Linked DNA regions of Mus musculus. The protein of the gene in region 1 purifies or fractionates together with the protein of each later gene. This does not show direct contact. Links are inferred from orthologs where the notes say so. Each region holds a gene or a part of one and is shown in the gene's direction. Other genes may lie near its edges. The genes, in order: Cd81, Cd46, Gnb1, Igsf8, Itgb1 and Ptgfrn.

The links.
Region 2: the proteins of Cd81 (region 1) and Cd46 purify together in Homo sapiens (co-immunoprecipitation; 3 studies listed by BioGRID and IntAct, with this or other methods). This does not show direct contact. The link is inferred for Mus musculus from reciprocal best matches to the Homo sapiens genes CD81 and CD46.
Region 3: the proteins of Cd81 (region 1) and Gnb1 purify together in Homo sapiens (co-immunoprecipitation; 4 studies listed by BioGRID and IntAct, with this or other methods). This does not show direct contact. The link is inferred for Mus musculus from reciprocal best matches to the Homo sapiens genes CD81 and GNB1.
Region 4: the proteins of Cd81 (region 1) and Igsf8 purify together in Homo sapiens (co-immunoprecipitation; 3 studies listed by BioGRID and IntAct, with this or other methods). This does not show direct contact. The link is inferred for Mus musculus from reciprocal best matches to the Homo sapiens genes CD81 and IGSF8.
Region 5: the proteins of Cd81 (region 1) and Itgb1 purify together in Homo sapiens (affinity purification with western blotting; 4 studies listed by BioGRID and IntAct, with this or other methods). This does not show direct contact. The link is inferred for Mus musculus from reciprocal best matches to the Homo sapiens genes CD81 and ITGB1.
Region 6: the proteins of Cd81 (region 1) and Ptgfrn purify together in Homo sapiens (co-immunoprecipitation; 7 studies listed by BioGRID and IntAct, with this or other methods). This does not show direct contact. The link is inferred for Mus musculus from reciprocal best matches to the Homo sapiens genes CD81 and PTGFRN.

What each region holds. Positions count from the first base shown.
Region 1 is NC_000073.6:143,051,318-143,055,549, forward strand, and holds the start of Cd81 (CD81 antigen), read left to right. Parts: upstream 1-1,432; 5' UTR 1,433-1,683; coding exon 1,684-1,749; exon of another isoform or gene 1,750-2,369; intron 2,370-4,232. UniProt on the Homo sapiens protein: Structural component of specialized membrane microdomains known as tetraspanin-enriched microdomains (TERMs), which act as platforms for receptor clustering and signaling.
Region 2 is NC_000067.6:195,089,449-195,093,733, reverse strand, and holds the start of Cd46 (membrane cofactor protein precursor), read left to right. Parts: upstream 1-1,485; 5' UTR 1,486-1,508; coding exon 1,509-1,635; intron 1,636-4,285. UniProt on the Homo sapiens protein: Acts as a cofactor for complement factor I, a serine protease which protects autologous cells against complement-mediated injury by cleaving C3b and C4b deposited on host tissue.
Region 3 is NC_000070.6:155,539,861-155,543,360, forward strand, and holds part of Gnb1 (guanine nucleotide-binding protein G(I)/G(S)/G(T) subunit beta-1), read left to right. Parts: intron 1-695; coding exon 696-759; intron 760-3,170; coding exon 3,171-3,333; intron 3,334-3,500. UniProt on the Homo sapiens protein: Guanine nucleotide-binding proteins (G proteins) are involved as a modulator or transducer in various transmembrane signaling systems.
Region 4 is NC_000067.6:172,317,855-172,320,343, forward strand, and holds the end of Igsf8 (immunoglobulin superfamily member 8 precursor), read left to right. Parts: intron 1-182; coding exon 183-590; intron 591-699; coding exon 700-1,113; intron 1,114-1,438; coding exon 1,439-1,554; 3' UTR 1,555-1,569; intron 1,570-1,729; 3' UTR 1,730-1,989; downstream 1,990-2,489. UniProt on the Homo sapiens protein: Member of the immunoglobulin superfamily (IgSF) that links tetraspanin-enriched microdomains to the actin cytoskeleton and plays several important roles in innate and adaptive immunity.
Region 5 is NC_000074.6:128,684,162-128,688,453, forward strand, and holds the start of Itgb1 (integrin beta-1 precursor), read left to right. Parts: upstream 1-1,492; 5' UTR 1,493-1,798; intron 1,799-4,292.
Region 6 is NC_000069.6:101,058,167-101,061,666, reverse strand, and holds part of Ptgfrn (prostaglandin F2 receptor negative regulator precursor), read left to right. Parts: intron 1-604; coding exon 605-1,030; intron 1,031-3,500. UniProt on the Homo sapiens protein: Inhibits the binding of prostaglandin F2-alpha (PGF2-alpha) to its specific FP receptor, by decreasing the receptor number rather than the affinity constant. Functional coupling with the prostaglandin F2-alpha receptor seems to occur.

The sequences.
Region 1 (4,232 bases):
GACTCCCTCCTGGAGACTCAAATGACTTTTAGTGTGATATTACTCCAGCATTTGGTGACTAGTGTTACTTTTGTTGTGACACCACTTCAGCCTCCAAGAACTATAAATGTGGACACAATCCTTCACTGTAGCAGCTATACCAGCCTGAAGCCAAAACAAATGCACAAATTAACTCTCAAGAAGCCTACTAGCCTAGCCGAGTAGAGATAGCTCCACCCAGGCAGCTACTGGCCAATCATCAGGTTTACATGTAAATTATACATAGTTCAAATTTTCGCCCTTTAGACAACTGGGCATGGTGTCCTAAACCTACAGTCTCAGCACTTAGGAAGCAAAAGTAGACAGAGCTCTGTTCCAGGAACCAGGGCTACATTGTGAGATTCTCATTCTCTGTCTGTCTGTCTGTCTCTGTCTGTCTGTCTCTCTCTCCACATATATATTATAGATATTCCTTTCCTTTGTTTAAATATATATGTATATCTATTCCTTTTTAAACATATTTCCAGTGTCCTGTAGCCAGAGGGGTGCCAGGTGTGATCTCCATAGGGAACAATGTCCTTAACTGCTCAAAGATTTAAGAACATGGAGTGACCTGGAAAAGGCTGAGTCTTGGGAACTGGTCCTTCCATGGTTCCCAGTGAGTCTAATGAAGCAGCCCCATTGCCCTTCAGTTTGGGGAAGGGAATGCCAAGATTTCACAGGAATATCATCTATGATGACAGCAGCCATTCCTCACCCGGGAAGGAAGCACCTCTGCCCTCTGAATCTTTCCTCACTTCCTTATTAATCCCAGCTTTCAGGGAACCAGCTAGAGGATGGAGGATGGACTCTTGGAAGGCACAGCCAGGATGGCATGAATATTTGAAGGTGCCCCTGAGGGTTCTCGAGCCTAAAGACTGGCTAAAGACATTGGGTACACTATTGACCTTCCCAAATGCAGCCTCCAGAACTGCAGCCAGGAACTCTATCTGTGAGATAGGGGATTAGCAAGGCTACAAAGAATTCCATTCTAGACCTTCAGGCCCACGGAGTTGCTGCCTGGGAGATCAATATACACAAAACATGTTAACTTTTAAGACTCTTTACTGTCGAGACACCTCCACTAGGGTACCCTCCGGGAAAGTCCAAGGCGTCCGAGTACCGGAGGAAGTAAGTGTGGCTTCTTTGGGGCAGTATCTTGTGGCCAGTTCTTAGTCGCGACCCAGAAGCCTGCCCCGAGGGTTGGGAACCCTTAAGAAACTTGGAGATTCATCCTGCGCACGCACAGTGCACCGAGTCCCCAAGAACCAGCTGCACCAAGTTCCAGAACGCTTACTCTGGGACTGAGGTGGCAGCACCCACCCAAGTACCCCTGGTCCGGGCACCCCGCGGGCGGAAGGCGGGGCCAGGGGTGGAGCGTCCTCTGGGCGGGGCCTCGGAGGGGCGGGACCTAGAGGTCTATAAAGAGTGAGGAGCTAGGCGCGCGCGCCCGGTCCGAGCGAGCGCGTCCTTGCTTCAAAGAGATAGTGACTCTCGCGCCTCCGGCTAGGCCTCCAGCCCTTCTCTACCCTACGTCTCATTCTCCGCAACGCAGTTCTCCGGCCCGCAAGCGCTCCAGGCTATCTGCCAGTCCCGGACCCCGGTACTGCGTCCCCATACCGCCCGCTCCAGGACCAATCCAAGCTCCGCAGGCCGCGCACCGCCATGGGGGTGGAGGGCTGCACCAAATGCATCAAATACCTGCTCTTCGTCTTCAATTTCGTCTTCTGGGTGAGCAGCCACTGGGGACAGGGCGCACCCCACGGTAGCCAGGCTGGGCAGCGCGCTAGGCCCTGCTGAGAAGGCGCAGCGCAACCGCGAAGTTGCGGCGCCACCTGTGGGCTCCGTGCGCCGATCGGGGTCCTGGCGCCCCTCGCCAGCGGGTTGAGGCCGAGGGCTGAGCTTCTGGGCCTCGGCTCGAGGGGCTTCTGGGGCCGGGAAATCAGGGGATCGCTGGCCTGTCCCCTCTGAGTGCTGGGAACTGGTGCAAGAGTCTGCGGGCTAGAGCCAGGTAATCAAGAGCCCTCAGCTATGAAGGGGGTACTCGCACCCTCCTGAATGTTGTTTTGGGGACCATCCTGCATCGCGAGCAGTGAGGGGGGTCGAGAAGGGCGGGATCTTGGCGCCCCGCCCCCATGAGCTCATCCTAGCCACCGCCCCTGGATAGGCGGCCTCGAAGTGGTGGGGGCACGCTCCGTACTTGCCTCGGAGACCTCAACCCCACTATTACTCCACCCTTGCTTACCCTCCAGCTTGGTATTGCCACCCTGGGGGCTCGAGCTCCAGGCCTAGAAGGCAGGGCAGCCCGGGCCGCGTGCTGCTGCGCACGGTGCCCCAGTTCTTGGCCACCCCCACCCCCATTCCCCCAGCTGCCCCTCCTCCTTGCCTGTCGTCTCCTGCACAGATTACAGCCCCGGCCTGACCCTTAGATCCTGAGAGGAAGAGGGTATGCAGTTCTGAGTTGGTGAAGGCCAGGGTGTTGCAAAGATCTGGGATCTGTACAAACCAGGAGCTTAGGATCTTTTCCTATATACAGGATCTAAGCTGGGCTCTCCACTTTGGAAAGAAGTGCACACCCATTTGGTCATCTTGGAAAGGAGACATGGGTATAAGAGGGTCTCCAAGTGTCCCTGGGTCCTGACTGTCTTCACTGCTGGGGAGTAGCCATTGGTGGTATGGGCTTCTTTCCATTTCCTAACTGGGTTGGGAATGGGGAGTCTTAACAGACCTGCCTGCGGGCACTTGAGTGAGCAGTGCTGGCCACTCCTCTGGACAGTGGTGCCACCCTCCCTGCTGCAGTGCACAGACTGCTGTTCCCACCACCCTCCTTCCCAGGAAGAAATGAGGTTATGCCAAGACAATGTTTCTCTAAAGTTGTTCCTGAGAGGGCAAACTTGTACAACGGCCCCTGGAGTGAGTGTGTTGGACAGGGGACACCTGTTTTCCATCGAGGACTGCTGAAGATCCCAGGGCGGGTCAGGGTGGGGTGGAGGGGAATAAGACGTTGGGGATGGGCAGGAACTGGGCTGAACTCAGCTGGGGCTATGTATGCTCACGCGGTGCTGCAGGGACCAAGATTGTCAGTCACGGTGACTCCAGAGAACACATTCTAGGGAGCAGCATGGGCGATGGGGTTAAACTTGCTCTGCCCGGGCATGCCTTGGGGTCTCGACTGGGTAGTCATGTTGGACAGTGCTTGCCTACTCTGAACCATGCAAGGAATTGAATGCACCCTCAAGAAGTGTGTTATCCACCCCACCCCACCCCCATTATTCTTCAGATGTGGGATGTCAGGATCCTGTAGGGTATTTCTTTCTTTCTTTTTTTTCTTTTTTTGCTCACCCACCTGATCCAAGCGCTAGACCCTCAGACTCCCTGGAGTGCTGAGGCTGGGTGAAGCTGCTCGTTTCCCAGGCAGCTGGGGTGGAGTCCCAACATGTCCCTGGGGTCTCTATTGAGGCTCCAGGAAACGGTTCTGAAGCCTCTCCCTGCTCCCAGGGACCTGCCTACTGACTGCAGAACAGTGAAAACTGTAGCCTTTCACAATCCCACAGACCTCTCCTCCCTACTCATGTTGGCCCCACAGTGGATAGGGATGTGGAGCAGAACCAGGCTACAACTGGTGGACACCACCCTGGCAGAGGGACTCCTTTTGTCCCTCGTGTGGCAAGGTTTGTACTGTGGCTGATAGTTCCCTGATATCATGAAATTGAACCTTTGGGGAGCCCCACCCCACCACTCTGGCCCTTAGTCTTCACTTCCTCCCTCTAAAGTGGGAGTTCTTGGGGGTCTCTGTCTCCTAGGATTGTGTGTAGACTAGCTAATGTACTCCAGAGTGGGGCAAGGGGCTTGGAGCAGAGAAGGCTCAGGAAATGGACACTGGACACAGTCTCCAAAAGGGAGTGGGGCCAAAGGAAGCTGAGCAATGATGTCAGAAGGGCCTAAGGAGGGGGCTGAGAGGTCCTTTGGGCCGTGGTGGGGGCGGGGGCTAAGAGCTCTAAGAAGGGAGATTTGGTTGACAGTAAATGTTTCGATGGACACTTTTTAAAATTTCCAGTTTGAAGATTAAAGTGGTTTCTCTGTGGGAGGGGACATTCCGGGCACACTAACCTGCCTGCTGTCACTCCCACCAGTCCTCCTTGGGCTTGAGTTCAGAACCTATATTGGGGCCAGCAGAGTTCTGGACTCCCAAGATATATGGGGCAGGACACAAA
Region 2 (4,285 bases), on another chromosome or scaffold:
CCAACACAACTCTTATAAAGAAAAAGAGTTGGAGCTGTCTTACCTTTTCAGAGGTTTAGTTCATTATCATCATGGCAGGAAGCATGGTGGCATGCAGGCAGACATGGTGCTGTGGAAGGAGCTGGGAGTTCTACATCTGAATCCACAGGCAACAGGCAGAGAACTGGTTTGAGCTTCTGAGACCTTAAGGCCCATCCACTAGTGACACACTTCCTCCAACAAAGTCACACCTACTCCAACAAAGCCATATCTCCTAATAGTCCCACTCCCTATGGACCAAATATCAAACACATAAGTCTATAGGGGCCATTCCTATTCAAACCACTGCACCCACCCTCTGAAAACAATGTAAACATAATTCCCGAGACACACAAAAAGCCCTAACCCTGATTTCTCTACCACTTAAATGCCCTTTCATCCCACTGTCTTACCACCCTTCAAAAAGCATACAGGAGATTGAGTCCTATTTTGGTCCACACCCCCGCACTCCCCCTTGCTTCTCTTTGACAGTTTAACAAGATATTTCCCATGAACTGGAAAAAACACCAAATTTGAATCCTCTCCTTCATCCAAAGGTTTGACATTTGTCAGGATCCTGGGATGTTCACAGTCAACACTGTCACTGAAAGCATTCCTAACCAGGGCTAAAACATAATAGCTCAACTTCAGGGGTGTGCTTGCAATGCTTGCCACAGAGAAGTGTTCTGTGCAATAATTTACAGCAACCATGTGGAGGGTGGGGGTGTGACTTTAGAAGCTGAGAATCCAATGGGAAAACCTTTGAGAGTTGAGGATTGTGAGATGAGGCTGTAAGAGAATTCAAATGAGGAAAATATAAGTACTTGTCCTAATCAGCTGTGACTAATGCCAAATACAAGTCTGAGGCAGCCTCCTGATAGTGCTTTAGGTCTATTTTATAGGTTCCCGCACTTTTATTCTTCAAGTTCAAGTTCAGAGCAATGATCACAGGGCCAACAAGTCTTTCCAGCCTTCTGGAATAAAGCGGTCTCTTTGTATATGTAAGCCAAGGTACGCCCCAGCTGGTAAGCACACCTTAGAACAGCTATAGAGCCGCTGAAGAGGGAATACTGAGCTGCATCTTTAAGAAAACAGCCCTGAGAGGAGCACAACCCTGACATGCAACTGAGGACAAGGCTTGTGCCATCCAAGCTGAGGAGTGCAGCAAAGCTGCAGAGGACTTGGGAGTAACGCAGCTAGGTAAGGAAGGAGCACAGCAAAGTGGGACAATGGAAAATAGTTGAGAAGCCCAAAATTCCTGGCGGGAGCGCAACCTCATGGCCCAGCCGCTTGAACTGAGGCCCCACCTTACTGCCAGCCGATTGGCCTAGCTAGCGCTACCAGTCACCAGCCTGCCAGGAGCGGCCTGGCCACGCCCACCTGTTGTGTCGCTCAGCACACTTTAGTTTCAGGATTGTTGCGTCTGTTCACCTATCTTAAAACTTGCTCTCTGGCTTCCTGGCGCCCAGTTTCCCTTTCAGTCTGGTAACATGACGGCGGCGCCTCTTATGCCAGACTCAACGCACCCCTGTCGCAGAAGGAAGAGCTACACTTTCTTCTGGTGCTCCTTGGGCGTCTATGCTGAGGCCCTTCTGTTTCTGCTGTCTCATTTATCTGGTACGATCCAGGAGAGAGGCTGTGTCGCAGGGAAGCTGGGAGGAGTTCAGGAGTTCCTGGTAGAGCCCTCTTAGGGTTGTGTAAATGTGTGAGTTTTGCTGTGACTATGGAGATCATTCAGTCCTCACCCCGAAAGTGCAGATTTCCTTAGTAGGCAGTAGTTAAGGGGTGGGCAGCCTGAGTGGAGGGAGGGGTAGATGTTCACTTAGAGCCCCACTGTGTCAGTAGCAGATTGCACGGCTTATGCTGTGGGCAAGCAACTCTGGGTTTAGAAGGGAGGGAAAGTCACACTTGGCCTCCCCCTTTAAGTCAAATTTCCTTGTTGCCCGAGGCAGTATGTATGGGCTTGGTTTATAAGTGGCTATTTTGCTGGGCATGGTGGCGCATGCCTTTAATTTAGGCAGAGGCAGGTGAATTTCTGAGTTCGAGGTCAGCCTGGTCTACAAAGTGAGTTCTAGGACAGCCAGGGCTATACAAAGAAACCCTGTCTCGAAAAAAAAAAAAAAGTGGCTATTTTGTTTGGCTTTTCAATTTCATTAGATTCCCCCCCCCCCCACACACACACATATACAGTGTGTTTAATCATATTCCTTACACTCCTACTCCCTGCTTGGAATTAGTGTCCATTCCTAGCCAAAGCAGACAGTGTCTGATTCTATTACCAAATGGCTCTGAGATCTTATCTTCCTTTACAGATAAAGTCATAGTAGAAAAAGGACAATCTAGACATCACTCCTGAGACAAGAAGTATAAGTAGCACTCTGGTTTTCACCTTAGCTCATGAACTAAAACTCAAGCTTTATCCCACCACATTTGGATGGTGTTTCATTACATGGAATAAATACTATACATGGTTAGTTACTTTATAAAATTTACACAAAGAACAATACTTCTGTTTTCTTCTGTTTTGCAACACTCTGTGTTTGTGACATATATACATAATCTTGTTCATATAGTCTGTATTTCTATATTTTTTCTTATCAGTATCCATCCAGCAACTTTTGCCTTCTATGTTCCAGACTCTGTGCTGGTCCGGAGGATGGAGATGTTGGGAGACAGTGACAAGCCTGTCTTGGTTTTGTGAGCCTCTTCCACTGATTGTTCACACACATATATGTATAGGAATGTAAGCAGGCACTTTATTGTGCTGATAGATCCCTAGTGGCAATACATAGTATATGATCTATAAATATTTGCTAATAATAACCAAAGCTTAACATGAAGGAATAGAACCATGCTCTGGAGTAAAGGAACATGCTTCTCTGACTGGATTTTAAAATGACTGAGGGACAGGACAAACAACAATCCCAACTCTGACACTTTAAACCACTGGTTTTTTTTTGTTTGTTTGTTTTGTTTTTTTTTTTTTACTGTTTTTCTTATATATAGAACCTTCTCCTGATATTACATATTTGACTATTTTCTCTTCAAACTTAGTTGGAATGTCACCCCCCCCCCCCAGGGAGACCTCTTCTGACTACCCTTAGTAGACATAACCCAACTTAACCCATCTCTCAACTTGCATCACACCTATAAAACTGGCTTTTCTGTTCTCTACCTCTCTGAATAGGAAGGCAAGAGATCTTTTCTTTTTTTCACACTAGTGACTCCAAATGGTTTTTTTTTTGTTTGTTTGTTTGTTTTGTCTTAGTGTTGTTGCTCTTACAAAACTCAAGTACCAGAATGTTAAATATATTTGGCCAATGCATGAAGCACAGAAAAGATTCTTCCTGCTTGCAGGAGGAACATTCTTTCAAGAACTTTGCTTTTTCATTAATCGCTATAAAATTCACTTCACAAGGAATAGAAGAGGCAGGTACTAGCATAATAGGAAACCAATGGATTTTGAAAAAGAATAATGTTTGGGATGAGCTAAAAGAAGATTCTGCAGTAGCTGGGCGTGGTAGCACACGCCTTTAATCCCAGTACTCAGGAGGCAGAGGCAGGTGAATTTCTGAGTTTGAGGCCAGCCTGGTCTACAAAATGAGTTCCAGGACTGCCAGGGCTAAACAGAGAAACCCTGTCTCGAAAACAACAACAACAACAACAACAACAACAACAACAACAAAAACAAACAAACAAAAAAAAGAAAGAAAGAAAAAAAGAAGATTCTGCAGTTATTTGAAATTTTTTGTTTGTTTGTTTGTTTTGGTTTTTTGAGACAGGGTTTCTCTGTGTAGCTCTGGCTGTCCTGGAACTCACTTTGTAGACCAGGCTGGCCTCGAACTCAGAAATCCTCCTGCCTCTGCCTCCCTAGTGCTGGGATTAAATCTATTAATCAAATAATCAGATAAAATGGATAGGATATAACATAAATGAAGGGAAACAAGGTAAAATCTAGAAAGCAAAATATAGATCGAAGCCTGGAAAACATAAAAGGAAAAATCGTTGTCCCAGGTAGGGAAAATTAAAGGAGAATAAGTTCTCATTTTTGGAACAACTCAATTTGTGAGGAAAGCAGTTTATAAGTGGATAATGCTCATCAGGAAGAGAATCTGTCACATTTTGAGGCTGAAGTCCGTCCCTCAGAAGAGTGGCTGCTTCTTTGAACAAAGCTGCAGTCCCCTGTTATGTCTGCTGCTCTCTTAGGCCTTTAGGTCTTGCTGAGATCAGTAAGTGCTTACACTTTAGTATCTCAGTCTTTACTCTG
Region 3 (3,500 bases), on another chromosome or scaffold:
AGTCTATCATGAAAGGAAATCAGCAAAGACCGCAGAGGAATACCGCTTACTAGCTTTCTCTTTAGGGCTTACTTAGCCTGCCATCCAGGACTACATGCCCAAAGACGACACTGCCCACAGTAAACTGGCCATGCTCACATCAATTATTAATCAAGGACATACCCATAGGTTTACCTATGTGCCAATAAGATGGAGATATTTTCTCAGCTGAGGCTCCTTCTTCCTTAGAGGACTCTAGCTTCTGTCCTATCCCACCCCACCCCCAATATAAATAAAAACAGGGCAGGTGTTTAAAATGGATTAAAATGGTTCCTGAGTGGGTAGTGTTTCAAGCTTTTCCCATAATATTCAAGCTTTCTTGCTGTCAGTATGAACAAAACTGTGTCCTAAATATTTGACATGTCTCATGTCTCTGTGTATCTAATTTAACTTGGAATAAAAAAGAAACCCGTCAGAAGCAGGTCAGATCAGTACCATCTCTCGGGTGATAAGAGAAGAGCTGGGGAGTCTGGTCATCCAGGTGTCCCCAGGGCTGAGTTGTTATCTGACACTCATGGTATTCCATTGCTCGAGCATTGAGATCCTCTTTCTTATTATTAAGTGTATTATATTTTAAGCGAATGTAGCTTTAAAGCTCTAGTTGGTCACCAAGATTTTTTGTTTCTGTTTTTTCTTTTCCTTTATCTTTTCTCCAGGCTCCTTGTCAGCGCCTCTCAGGATGGAAAACTCATCATCTGGGACAGTTATACCACAAACAAGGTGGGCAGTGCAAGACCCTCCCTGGAACAGTGACAGTCTGTTGATGGAGCAATGATGACCTCGGAGGGCGATAGAAGAGCTTGTGTTGCTGACCCATTAAGCTTGGCATACAGTTGTGCTGTGGTTCCTGTCTTGGCATGTAGATAGGAGCTGAGTGCTTCCTTGTCCTTGCACAAGAGCTACACTCCACTCCTAGTTTTGACTGGAAACTTTCCTAATTTATTACTAGAATACTGAAATGCAGATTCCATTTAGTTAGTAGTTTGTTTTGTAGTAACAAGAGATAATCTAAGATGCACTATACTTTTTAATGTTTAGTGGAGGATTGGGAATGTAGCTCAGTGGTAGAATACTTGTCTACTGGGCATAATTCCCTGGATTTGATTCCCAGAACCACAAAAGATAAAAAACCAATGTAACCCAACAGATTGGTAAAAGTCTGTGATTCTAGTAACTCAGGAGGCTAAGGTAGGATGATCGAATAAACCCAGAGGGCAAACCTGCCATGGCTAGATAGGGGAAAGGAGAAGACAGAGATACTAGGTAGAATGTTTGCCTCATAGGTACAAATCTCTGAATTAAATTTCCACTTCTCTTATATTGAAATAAATTACACTGGGTATGGTGGTACATGCTCATAATCTATCATTTGAGAATGTAAGCAAGAGCCTCAAGCATTAAAGATTATGCTTACCCACATAATAAAGTGAAACCAGCCTGAACTACATGAGACCTTGTCTCTAAAAAATAGTATTCACAAAAAACCAAACAAACGGGGCTGGCGGGATGGCTCAGTGGTTAAGAGCGCCGACTGCTCTTCTGAAGGTTCTGAGTTCAAATCCCAGCAACCATATGGTGGCTCACAACCATCCGTAATGAAATCTGATGGCCTCTTCTGGAGTATCTGAGGATAGCTACAGTGTACTTACATATAAATAAAAAAAAAAAATTAAAAAAAAATTTAAAAAAACAAACAAACAAACAAAAAAGAATACATTTAAATTCTGAGTGGTTGCAGTGGCCAGTCTATAATTCTAGCATTTGGAAGACAGAGACAAGGAATCCACAAAGCAATCTGGTTATCTAGACCTACAGACGAGCTCTAGACAGTCCTGAGGAACACTGTCTCACAGAAGAAGGTGGAGAGCAGTCAGGGGAGGGCCCGTGTCAGCCTCAGCCTCCGTGTGCACAAGCACACATGCGCATAAAGTACGGGGAGCCGAGCCAGGCGTGGTGATACACGACTTTAATCTCAGAAGTTGGGAGGCAGAGGCAGGTAGATCTCTGTGAGTTAGGGGGCCACCCTGTCTATAAAGTGAGTTCCAAGACAGCCAGAGCTCTAGAAACCCTGCCTGCAAAAACGAACGAAAAGGTGCAGGGCTGGAAAGATCGCTCAGTCACTGCCTGATTTTTCCAGAACGTCTTGAGTTTTATCCCCAGCGTCTGCGTAGTGGTTTGCAGCCTTCTGTGTGTCAGTTAAAGGGGAACCCAGAGCCCTCCCTCCTTTAGCTTTCCAGGCTCTGTACTCAGTTAATCAACAGTTAATCAAATGTTCCTACAGATAACATGAAATTAAATCTCAAGACAAGTTTTAATGCTGTCATCAATTAAGGAAAAAAAATTGGACAGTTGTATTTTCCCTCAAAATTAGTAAATACATGCCAAGATTACAGAATGTTAACTGCTCTATCTAAACAGCAAGACTAACTGTGTTACCAGTGTGCAGTTAGGTTATTGCATGTGAGTGTCAGAGAGAATGAATATGAATGAGTTCTGCCTCAGCTTCTTTATTGCTGGGATCGGCATGAATCACCATGCCTGGCTGTTTTTTATGTGCTTGTCTTTGTTTTTTTTTAAGCTCATAGCCATGATAAATTAAAGGGGAAAGTAAATCTTTTCAAATCCTATTAACATCACTCCTTAAATCATTAAAATGCAAATATAATTTGTGTTTTCTTTGAGATAGTTTTCCATTATGTATAGCTCAAAATATCCTCAAACTTGCCATCGGGGCTGGTGATATACACCCTACTGGACAAGACTTTTGAGTTCAAGTCTCAGAACCAAAAAAGACAGACACGACAAAAAGCCCTCTTTTTCTTTCTCTTAGCTTTCCAACTCCTAGATTCACTGACGTATGCCATCACACCTATCTACTCATTAGGGTTTTTTGGTTTGGTTTGGTTTGGTTTGGTTTGGTTTGGTTTGGTTTGGTTTGGTTTGGTTTGGTTTTGTTTTGTTTTGTTTGTTTTTGAGACAGTTTTACTATGGAGCCCTGGCTGGCCTCAAATTCAGAGATTCACCTACCTTTGCCTCCTGAGTGCTGGGGCTACAACATAAACTATACACCCAGCTGTAGTCATATTTTCTTGAACTTAATAGTGTTTCCTGTCTGTATTCTTGTTATTTAGGTTCATGCCATCCCTCTGCGCTCCTCTTGGGTCATGACCTGCGCATACGCTCCTTCTGGGAATTATGTGGCCTGTGGTGGCCTGGATAACATCTGCTCCATTTACAACCTGAAAACTCGTGAAGGGAATGTGCGTGTGAGTCGTGAGCTGGCGGGACACACAGGTACACATCTCATGTTCCAGTGGTGTAAGCTGCTAACTGGGATGTATACTGCTCTTGTGATCTGTTGATTATTGGTTCAAGTAAAAGTGAAAGTAACGGCCAGAAATTTTCTGAAAGTGAAGCCAAACCAGGGCCAATATGCCTTCATCTTTAAGAAACATGGAAAC
Region 4 (2,489 bases), on another chromosome or scaffold:
CTCTCAGTTGGGCATCGGGAGTACCGCATAAACGTGGAGATACAAAGGCTATGGGGGGAAGGGTGAAATTCGGGTCCTGGGGTGAGGGAGATATAAGAGGCCTCTAAATTTCTGCAAAGAAGAATTACAGGTGGGGGGCCCAGGCATCTCAGTGACTCCTCCCATCTCCTGCTGTGTTTCAGCCAGCCAGCTGGCGGTGACCGTGGGACCTGGTGAACGTCGGATTGGCCCAGGCGAACCCTTAGAACTGCTGTGCAATGTGTCCGGTGCACTGCCCCCACCAGGCCGTCATGCTGCGTACTCTGTGGGCTGGGAGATGGCCCCTGCAGGGGCTCCTGGACCCGGCCGCCTGGTGGCCCAGCTGGACACGGAAGGTATAGGCAGCCTGGGCCCTGGCTATGAGGACCGGCACATTGCCATGGAGAAAGTAGCATCCAGAACCTACCGACTGCGGCTGGAGGCTGCCAGGCCCGCTGATGCAGGCACCTACCGCTGCCTCGCCAAAGCCTATGTTCGAGGGTCTGGGACCCGGCTTCGTGAAGCGGCCAGTGCTCGTTCCCGGCCTCTCCCTGTGCATGTGAGAGAAGAAGGTAAGAGGATGTTGAGCCCTTGACGGGGTTCAGAACTTATAGAGTTTATTTCCTAACCTCTTAGCCCCTGGGCCTTCACCTGGTAACCCCCGTGTTCTTTGCTCTGCAGGCGTGGTGCTAGAGGCTGTGGCGTGGCTAGCAGGGGGCACTGTGTACCGGGGAGAAACGGCCTCCCTGCTATGCAACATATCTGTGCGGGGCGGCCCCCCAGGGCTGCGACTAGCAGCCAGCTGGTGGGTGGAGAGGCCAGAGGAGGGCGAGCTGAGCACTGGCCCTGCTCAGCTTGTGGGTGGAGTGGGTCAGGACGGTGTGGCAGAGCTGGGAGTCCGGCCTGGAGGGGGTCCTGTCAGTGTGGAGCTGGTGGGACCCAGAAGTCATCGGCTAAGACTGCACGGCTTGGGGCCTGAGGATGAAGGCATATACCACTGTGCCCCAAGTGCCTGGGTGCAGCATGCGGACTACAGCTGGTACCAGGCAGGCAGTGCGCGCTCCGGGCCTGTCACAGTCTACCCCTACACGCATGGTGAGTGACAGCCACCATCTACCCACCTGTTCCTGCTCTGTTTGCCCCTTTCCATCTTCCTGTCTTCCCTTGCAATCCTTTTTCCACATCCCTTTGCATGAAGGGTCCCAAGCCGGCCTGAGTGCTGAGACCGGGGGTGGGGGGTGGTGGTGGGGGTGGAGGGGGGTGGGGGGGATGGGGGATGGTTGTGTTTGTGTGTGAAGTGTAGGTAGGCAGGACTGGCGCTTAGCTCTCCCTTGGGGAGGGCTGAGTCTAGAAAATCTGCAGGGGAGAGTGTCAGAGACCGTGGTACTCTCTGAGCAGAGCCTGTCTTCTTTTCTGCCAGCTGTGGATACCCTATTTGTGCCCCTGTTGGTGGGTACAGGAGTCGCCCTAGTTACCGGCGCCAGCGTCCTGGCTACCATCACCTGCTGCTTTATGAAGAGGATGCGGAAGCGGTGATCTGTAGCACCCCAGGTGAGGGAAAGGAGCTGCCTTCCTCAGGCTTCCTGTGCTGAGCTGTACCTGGCCTCCATCTGGGGGAGAAGCAGCCAGCTTCACAGTCCTGCAGGATCGTGTAGCAGGGTAAGGGCCAAAGGGAGCCTCTTCCTCAGCCGACTCCACATGCTCTTTCCAGTTCTTGCAGGTGTTGACTGTCTTCCAGCCAGTGCCACCCCTCCTCTGGTTGCCTGGATACCCTCTCCCTCTGTCCAGCCCACCTTTAATTTATTTGACCAGCCATCACCTAGAGTGGGAGACATGGCTCCCCTGTTCCCTCCTTCCCTCAAGTTTCCTGGCTGCCGTTCTTAGTCCCACACTCATGTTGTAGGAAGTCCAGTTCCTGTCCTCAAACTAGTTTTTCTAAAATGTGAATAAACTGGTTTTGTAAAATCGAGGCCTGTTGTGTCTTCTCTTGCGGTGAAGCTATAAAAGGCAGCATTGGGGGTGGGTGGGGGGAGTGGGGTGGTGGTAGGGTGGTTGCTGGACAACCTGGGCCTCTCTTCCCACCATAAACACCATCTGTCCCTTTGTGGGCCTTGTTACCCACCAACTGCATGAGGGGATGCCGGGGTCCCATCTGTTGTCCAAAATGTCTGTGCTGAGCCAAGTCCTAATGGGGCTTCTATTTGGGAAGGGGGACCTAGGAAGAGGAGGGGTGAGTTCCAGCTGAGCTCTGCCCCTTTCACAGAGCTCCAAGGGACGAGTCTTTTCTGAGCTCTCCAGACTGGGGCACACCCTCCTCTGGTCCATTTCTCCTGGTTGAACTAGTCTTGGACCAGACTCCTCCCACAGGCCCTGGGGCCTCAGTCTTTTTCCTCCTGCCCTTAATTATTCTCTGACAGCAGCCGAATAGGAGCTTCAGAACACGGCTGCCTACTTAAGGACAGCAGCAGTTG
Region 5 (4,292 bases), on another chromosome or scaffold:
TAGCTATTGCTGGGGAGAATAACCAACAGCACAGTAAATGCTACAGTGGAGAAAGGCTTACATTTTGAAAAAGCAAGAGGCAGCTTATATTTTCTGCCAAGGTAGAACTTCAATCCTCCAGGCACAGGGTAAATGGCTGTGGGTGTAATTGGACCTCATGCTTCTGCCACTACAACTTTCTTGTTGAGATGGACTGTACCGTGTAACTGTGAGCTAAAATAAATTCTTTCATTAAGTTGCTTTGTCAGTTATTGTGCCCCAGTAGTGAGACAAGTAATTAGAACAATGTTCATGCATTTTACATAGCTAAGTAACTGCCCATCTCTTAACATTTTTATGAATTCAAGTATAGCTACATTTCTGAGCAATTATGGAACTTATTAATTTCTATTTTCTTCAAAGTTTATGACTTGTACATGTAAATTGGTATTCCTCTGACAGCTTAGGTTGAGTCCTGGGAGAGCAGCACAAACACTATTTTGTGTGTGTGTGTGTGTGTGTGTGTGTGTGTGTGTCGATCTTGTGGTAGATTGTTCCCTCCTCAAGTCACACGAATGAAAGCTCACACAGTTCAGGCCAAGCATTGATAAAGTATGTTTATAAAGCTGTTTCTTGTGCAGAGACTGGGCTAATGGTTTAACTCAAAGTGGTAAGATCAATACCTTTAAAGGCAACGAACGTCACTGAGCTTTACCGCTGGGCTGCCGATGCAGACGTAGCCTTTTAAGTTCAGTCATTTACTAATTAGAAAAACGATGCTCATTTATTAAAATTTTAGTTAAACAATACATTTGATTTGCTCATGGGCAACATATAACTTTTCCATAGTGATTAATCTTTTTTTTTTTTTTTGGCATCCCAGTTTTACTCTTCCAGAACAGAAACACTATTTCTTGGGTTCATAAACCCGGCAATGAAAGCTGTCTTTACGGCTGGGTGCCCTGCTCCTCCTGGCAGCCCACACTCTTCGGGTAAGCTGATGGCACCTGCTGTCCCACAGCTTTCAGTATGACGAGGCAAGTCCAAGTTTCAAGCTTCTCATTTAGATTTTGAGACTGGCTACTTTTCAATTCTTTTTCCAGAAAAGAGAAAGCAAGTGCGCAAACATAACATTTTTCCTTTTTGTGCTTGGCCACCCAGATAGAAAATTGAGCAAATGCGGCGCCAAGGAGCGCAGGGTGGCACAGCAAGGGTGGAGCGGGAGTCTGCAATCTTAGGGTGACGGGGCGGGTCCGAGGGCTGCCTGCAGAACACCCGATCCTTCTTGTCCCCTCAGCCCACAGAGAGGTCTGGCTCGGGATCCCAGGGACCGGACACAGACTGCGGCTGGGCTTTCCAGCCGGGCGGCCGGCGCCCTCGGTGGTTCAGCGCGGTACCCCAGGCAGAAAGGGCCGAACGACCGAGCTCCTTTGTCTGCACCCTGCCCCACCTTCCTTCTTCCTGCCGCCTCCCCCTCCTTTTCAGGCGCGGCTGACGCGGCGCGGAGGAATGCGTTTCCGGAGGGAGAGAAAAGCCGGGCAGCCCGGGAGAAAGAGCTTCGCGGCGGGGGCGGGGCGGGGCGGCTTCCTGAGGGACAGGCGGGCCGAGTCTCCGCCCACTCGCTGAAGAGCCGCCAGACCCGCGGAGCGGCCGAGGCCCGCCGACGCCACCCGAGACCAACCGAGAAGCCGAGGCCCGCCGACGCCGGCCCGAGACCCTCCGAAAGGCCGAGGTCCGCCGACACCGACCCGAGACCCTCCGAGAGGCGGAACGCGGCGGAGCCCGGGCCGCCCGCGTGTCGGGCGGACGCTGCGAAAAGGTAAGGCCGCGGGCGTGTGGACGTGCGGGCGTGGGCTCCGGGCAACTCGGGCTAACCAGGCGTGTCTCTGCGGCCTGGGCCGGGTGGAGTCCGGTTTTAGGGACCGCGGCGCTCGGCCTCGTTCGGCTGCAGCTCCCCGCCCCGCCCGGCCTTGTCCTAAGGGAGGGTCGCGAGCCCAGTCTGTCACACCGGGGCGTGGCGGGGTTCAAGGGTGGGTACGACAGGGATCTGGGTGCCGCTGACCTTAGAGGGGTTCGGTCCGTCGGTGCCCAGCGGGCGCCTTTCCCCAGCGCGGCGCGGGACCCTGGGAACCAGGCCGCAGCGCCCGTGGTCCGCGAGGCGGTGCCCACCCGGGGCCTCGTGGAGTGTGGCTGCCTACCCTTTCTCGTGCCTCCTAGTGACAGGCTGGGTTAATGACCGCGCTGATCCCGAATGCCACAGTGAATTTGAACTTTTAATTTGAAACCTAGTAATAACTAGTAATAAATTATCCTATTTCCGTTTCCTCATCTTTAAAAGAGAAAAGGAGTTCCTACACTAATTATAGTAATTCTTGTGACACGAGGGTCAGACCCAGCTCCCAGCATGTAAACTCCCAGCATGTACTGACCTCACTGCAGAACCCTGATCCTGATCCATGGTGGTATTGGGACTGCCTATCTCATTTTACAAAGGAAGAAACTGAGGTGCAGGAGTTTTAAGTAATTTGGAGAGTTCATGGGCTCACCTCCAGAGCCTATATTTGAACTTTAAGTAACCTAACTAATGTAAAATAAAGAAGGCATTTTGTGTGTGTGTGTGTATGTATATGTATGGCAAGAGGAATCCAGGGCAATGCCTCAAAAAAAAAAAAAAAAAAAAAAAAAAAGAAAAGAAAAAAAAAGAAAAGAAAAAAAAGAAAAGGACACAGTAGGTAGTGAAATGTAAAACCACAACTTAGACAACAATGCTTCATATACATTAATTACTTTTCATTGCTTTTGCTATGTTAAAAAAAATCTACAAACTTCTCAGAATGTTTTGGTAGTATTAGGAAAGTCTCCTGGATATGCCATTCCACTTGGGTATGAAGAGGATAGTATGACTTAAGGTTTTTATTTTTTAATGGTGGTTGTTGCTTGCATAGGACAGAAATAAATGTTAGATGAATTCTGATTAGATTTCTTTTTTAAATCGCACACAGCCATTACAGTAGGTCATATCCTAGATAACCTGTAGAATGGACTAAGAAATTTTAGTTTAGAGTTACCTCTTGCATACTGATGGACATCAAGGCCCGAAGGGAAGGACTGACATCAGAATCTTAATATATGATATGATATCCAAGTTTATGAGGAATTTTGATTCATTCAACCATGGTTAATGATCAGAAATGATAGAATGACAAATAGAAAACGGATGAAACACTGGCATGTTGTATATAGGCACTTGGGGAGAGTAGAAGATACTAGAACTCTAGTTTTTATGTGAGTAGAAAGCAGTTTCTAGCTTATCTGTTGAATTTACAGGCCTGCAGTTGAAGAATCTGTTGTTGAGGATATGAAGTTCAGTATTAAGATGGTTTCTTTAATTTTAATTTATAATTATTTGCATGTGGGAATGTATGCCGAGCATAGGTGGAGGTTAGAGGATACATTTGTGAGGTTTCTTCTTTTCTTCCACTATCATGTGGATTTCAGGGATTGAATTCAGGTTGCCCAGCTTGGGTAAGCATTTTCATGTGTTGAGCCATCTCACTGTTTGAGGTTGTTTCCTTTTTTTAAGGCTTTGATTTGTTTATTTTATGTGGGTGCGTATTTGCCTGCTTGTAAGTTTGCCCTGTGTGTATGCCGCTCCAGTGGAGGCCAGAAGAGAGGGGTCAAATCTCCTGGAACAGTACCCACAAGTGGCTGTCAGCTGGTATGTGGGCACTAGCAATAGAACTCAGGTCCTCTGGAAGAGCATGTCTTCCCCTACCCCCTCCCACCAGGTTGTTTGTAATCTTCAGTATTGTACATGAAAATTACAGAATCAACAAAGTTGAAAAGTAATCAGTTGTCTTTAATTTTCTGGTCAGCCTAATTTGAATCTGTTCTGAATCAACATCAATGAAATGAAAATATAGTTCTGTATTGATTAACTCCATGAACACTGCTCACCTCTCCTCACTCTTTATTACTAGGAAAATTAATTAGCTTGACGGATGTTTGTCCAGAATGCTTTCTGCCTAATGTAGTTCCTTTACTCTCTGGTGTTTTTCTAACAGAGCCCCACCCCCTGGTTTACATGTAGAGAGGGAGGTGTATATCATAGTTTGTTGTCTGGAGAAAATAATTTTATTAGTGTTCCGTGAGTGTATGAGTACTAGTATTCTTACCTGTGTTACCAGAGTGATGAGATAAACATGTTGACACTAGTAAAAGTTTCAGAGGATTGTTTTTTTTTTCCTCAGAATTTAAATGTAAAAGTTTTTGAAGTGTAATAAGCCCAGCTGACTTGAAGATTCATTATGGGG
Region 6 (3,500 bases), on another chromosome or scaffold:
TCTGGCCTTGGCAGCTCCCTCCCTCCCTCCCTCCCTCCCTCCCTCCTATTCTCCCTCCCTCCCTCCTATTCTCCCTCCCTCCCTCCTATTCTCCCTCCCTCCCTCCTATTCTCCCTCCCTCCCTCCTATTCTCCCTTCCTCCCTCCCACCCTCTTTTCTTCCCCCTTCCTCCCTCCCTCCCTTCCTTCCTTCCTTAATTTCATCTTATTTTTTAATGTGTAGGGATATTTTACTTGCATGTATGTCTGTGCACCACATGTGTACAGTGTCCTCAGAGGCTATAAAAGGGTATTGGATTCCCTGGAACTGGACTGAGAGATGGTTGTGATTGCCATGTGGGTTTTGGGAATTGAACCTAGGTCCTCTGTAAGCAGGCAGGGCTCTTAAGTCTGAGACACCTTGGCAGTTTTCTTAAGGCAGATACTTGAAGAAGTGGTTTACACACTTTGAGAAATACTCTTACAGGGTCCTTCCTGCTCAACGCCAAGACTTGATTTTTATTTCAGAAGCTAGCAGGATGGACGATTTGTTGGAACGCGAGTGGTCCTTGACTTGTTCCTTGGACAATTCTTATGTCGTTGTGTTTTCTCTTTCCCCACTTCAGAACCAGAATACCAGGTCTACCTGAACGCTTCTAAGGTCCCCGGGTTTTCAGACGACCCCACGGAACTGCAGTGCCGGGTGATAGACACGAAGCGTCTGGAGGCCGGTGTCCGACTTACCGTGTCGTGGTACTATAGAATGACCCGTCGCAATGACGACGTGGTGGCCAGTGAGCTTCTCGCAGTCATGGATGGGGACTGGACTCTGAGATATGGAGAGAGGAGCAAGCAGCGGGCCCAGGACGGAGAGTTTATTTTTTCTAAGGAGCACACAGACACATTCAATTTCCGGATCCAAAGGACTACGGAGGAAGACAGGGGCAATTATTACTGTGTTGTGTCTGCCTGGACCAGGCAGAGGAACAACAGCTGGGTGAAGAGCAAAGATGTCTTCTCCAAGCCTGTCAACATATTCTGGGCCTCAGAAGGTGGGGACATCATCCTGTCACTGCTCAGTTTGGTTTAATTTCTTAAGTCATCTGTCCATGTTTGTGTAGGCACCCTCACTCTCCGTTCACACTGGAAATCTGTGCTCATACACTAGGGAACTGGAACCACATGGCCCTTTGGGGACATGGGCCTCTGCCACTCACTGTCCTTAGCAAAGCCTTGCATTTCCTGAACCCCAGTCAGTGTTCCTTTTTCTTTCTTTTGGATGCCAGCCTCCTCTCTGAGGACAGTTGTCCCAGAATCTACCTCAGTGGCTGTGTTTTCTTCCCACATTCCTTGAGTAGCTGGGAATAGAGGAGTCAGGCACCCCCTTGTCCCTCTGCAGTTTCTACCATTCCCCACCAGTCCTGAAAGACCCCTCTCTGCCCAGGGCCACACCTCTTCCACCTGCCACTCATCCTGATTGACTCCTTGCTCTTCTGCTCATCTGCTGGAGCTGCTCGCCTTGGTTTCATGGCCACTTTTGTTACTACTCCTGTCTGGCTAGCTGTGTTGAAATCTTCCTGGGAGCTTTCAAAAAAGAAAAGAAAGGATCCCAGTAGAAGTTGTATTTAAATTGGTCTGAGGTGTGTGCGGTCTGGACACTGGGATTGAATCCTCTAGAGGGGCCACTGTGGAAGACCCTAGTGTAGACAACATTTTCATTCTCAGCCCCCTGCCTTTGTCTCTAAGTATCACGTCCTCTGTCCCTTTTGGTCTTTCACTCCCAATTCTTTTCATCTGACCCGTTCACTTCTGAAATCCAGCCCTCCATAGCTCAGTGTCACTGTCTGGTTCTCTAAGATCACCGGCTCCCCAGATCATTCCCTTTAGTGCTTCAGCCTTAGTGGTTCTGTCTTCTACCATTGTCCTTCCTTCTTCCTGGGCCTTTACTTCTCTCTTACCAGAAAGTCCAACATGGACCTGGAGCCCGTCCTGATACACGTCCAGGGCTGGGGGTAAGGAGAGCTGTTTGATCATCTACGGATATCCAGCCTAAGTTCCCAGCCAATCATGTCCCTTCTTTGCTTTCTTAACTCTCTTTCCCTGGCTTGGTCTACCTTATATTCTGCTTAAAACACTACCTGATTCAAAGCCAACTTTGCTGTCGCTTTGGCTGCATATGCAGAGTTAGATGCAGTTGAAGGAAATAGCTTTCCAACAGTGAAGGTCTCACTTCAGATCTCCAATCTCTTCTGTCACGTGGGCTCTCAACATTGAGAGTCATTCTGGTTTCCTTTGTGTGTTTACTTCCCCACTCTCCTAAGTGATAATTGCACACCACCTGCTCTCTGAAAACCTCCTCCCCCAGCCTCTGTCGGCTCCATTCCCTATAAAAAGATCATCAAAGGAGAACTTGTATCTGCCATGTTCAGCATTGAGCCTGTTACTTGCCCGTATGTCTTAGCAAAGGTTAGCCCCTCTCACAGCTCAGACACATGCCCCACCCCCTTATATCATCAATATTCTCTCTCCTCTGGTCCTTTCCCATCAGCCTGCTAACACTGCTTTAGAGAAACCGCTTTTGGTCTATTTCTGTTTCTTACAACCTTGCCCACTACTCTGCCCATTTATAGCGGTGGATTCGATTTATCTATATTTAATATCTCTCATTTCTCCTCCAGTTCTCTGTGGTACCTGCTCCCCAACCCCTTAGTCACATGTTGATATTGCCAAAGATCAACACACTACAGAACCCTGTTTGTCACTTTCCTTCCTGGGCCGGGACAGTTTCTCCCTTGCAGGAATGCTCTGGCTTTTCCCACTGCTTGTGGGAAGCCTTTCCGGGCCCTGTTTCCCTCCTCACTGCAGTACCTCAGCCTCCCTTCCGTACTGCTTCCTACTCAGTTCCCACTCAGGACACATCAGGACACAGTCCCTGCATTCCTGCTTAACTTGCTCAGCTTTAGCTTCACAGGACACATAGCAGGGGCTGACTCCCAACTGTGCCCGTGTGTGCCCGCATGCCCCAGAACTTCGCCTTCACTGATATGGTGCCTTCCTGCCTAGCAAGCAGCTCTTAAGTTGCTGTCCAAAATGGAGCCTCTGGCCTCTGCCACCCATCTTCTTCCACCTTTAGTTGTTGACCTAAACCTTTACCTCTGACTCCTCACTTTTGCTTTGCTTTGCTTTGCTTTGCTTTGCTTTGCTTTGCTTTGCTTTGTTTACCTGCTAGGGATTGAAGCAGAACCTTATGGAGTGTTATGCAAGCCAGCCACATCCTGACCCCTAACTTCCCTTTTTGGTTGTTGTTTGATTTATTGGAGGCCTGTCTTGTTTTGAGAGGCAAGGTCTCCTGCAGCCCAGTTGTCCTCAGATTTACTGTGTTGTCAAAGATGACTGAGCTCCGATCCTCCTGCCGCTACCTCCCAAGTTCTGGGACTGCAGATATCACCATGCCCAATTCTAACTTCTTGAGACCAGTTTAGAGTCTAATGGCCTCTCATGCTTCAGGCTTATGAGCCCAGT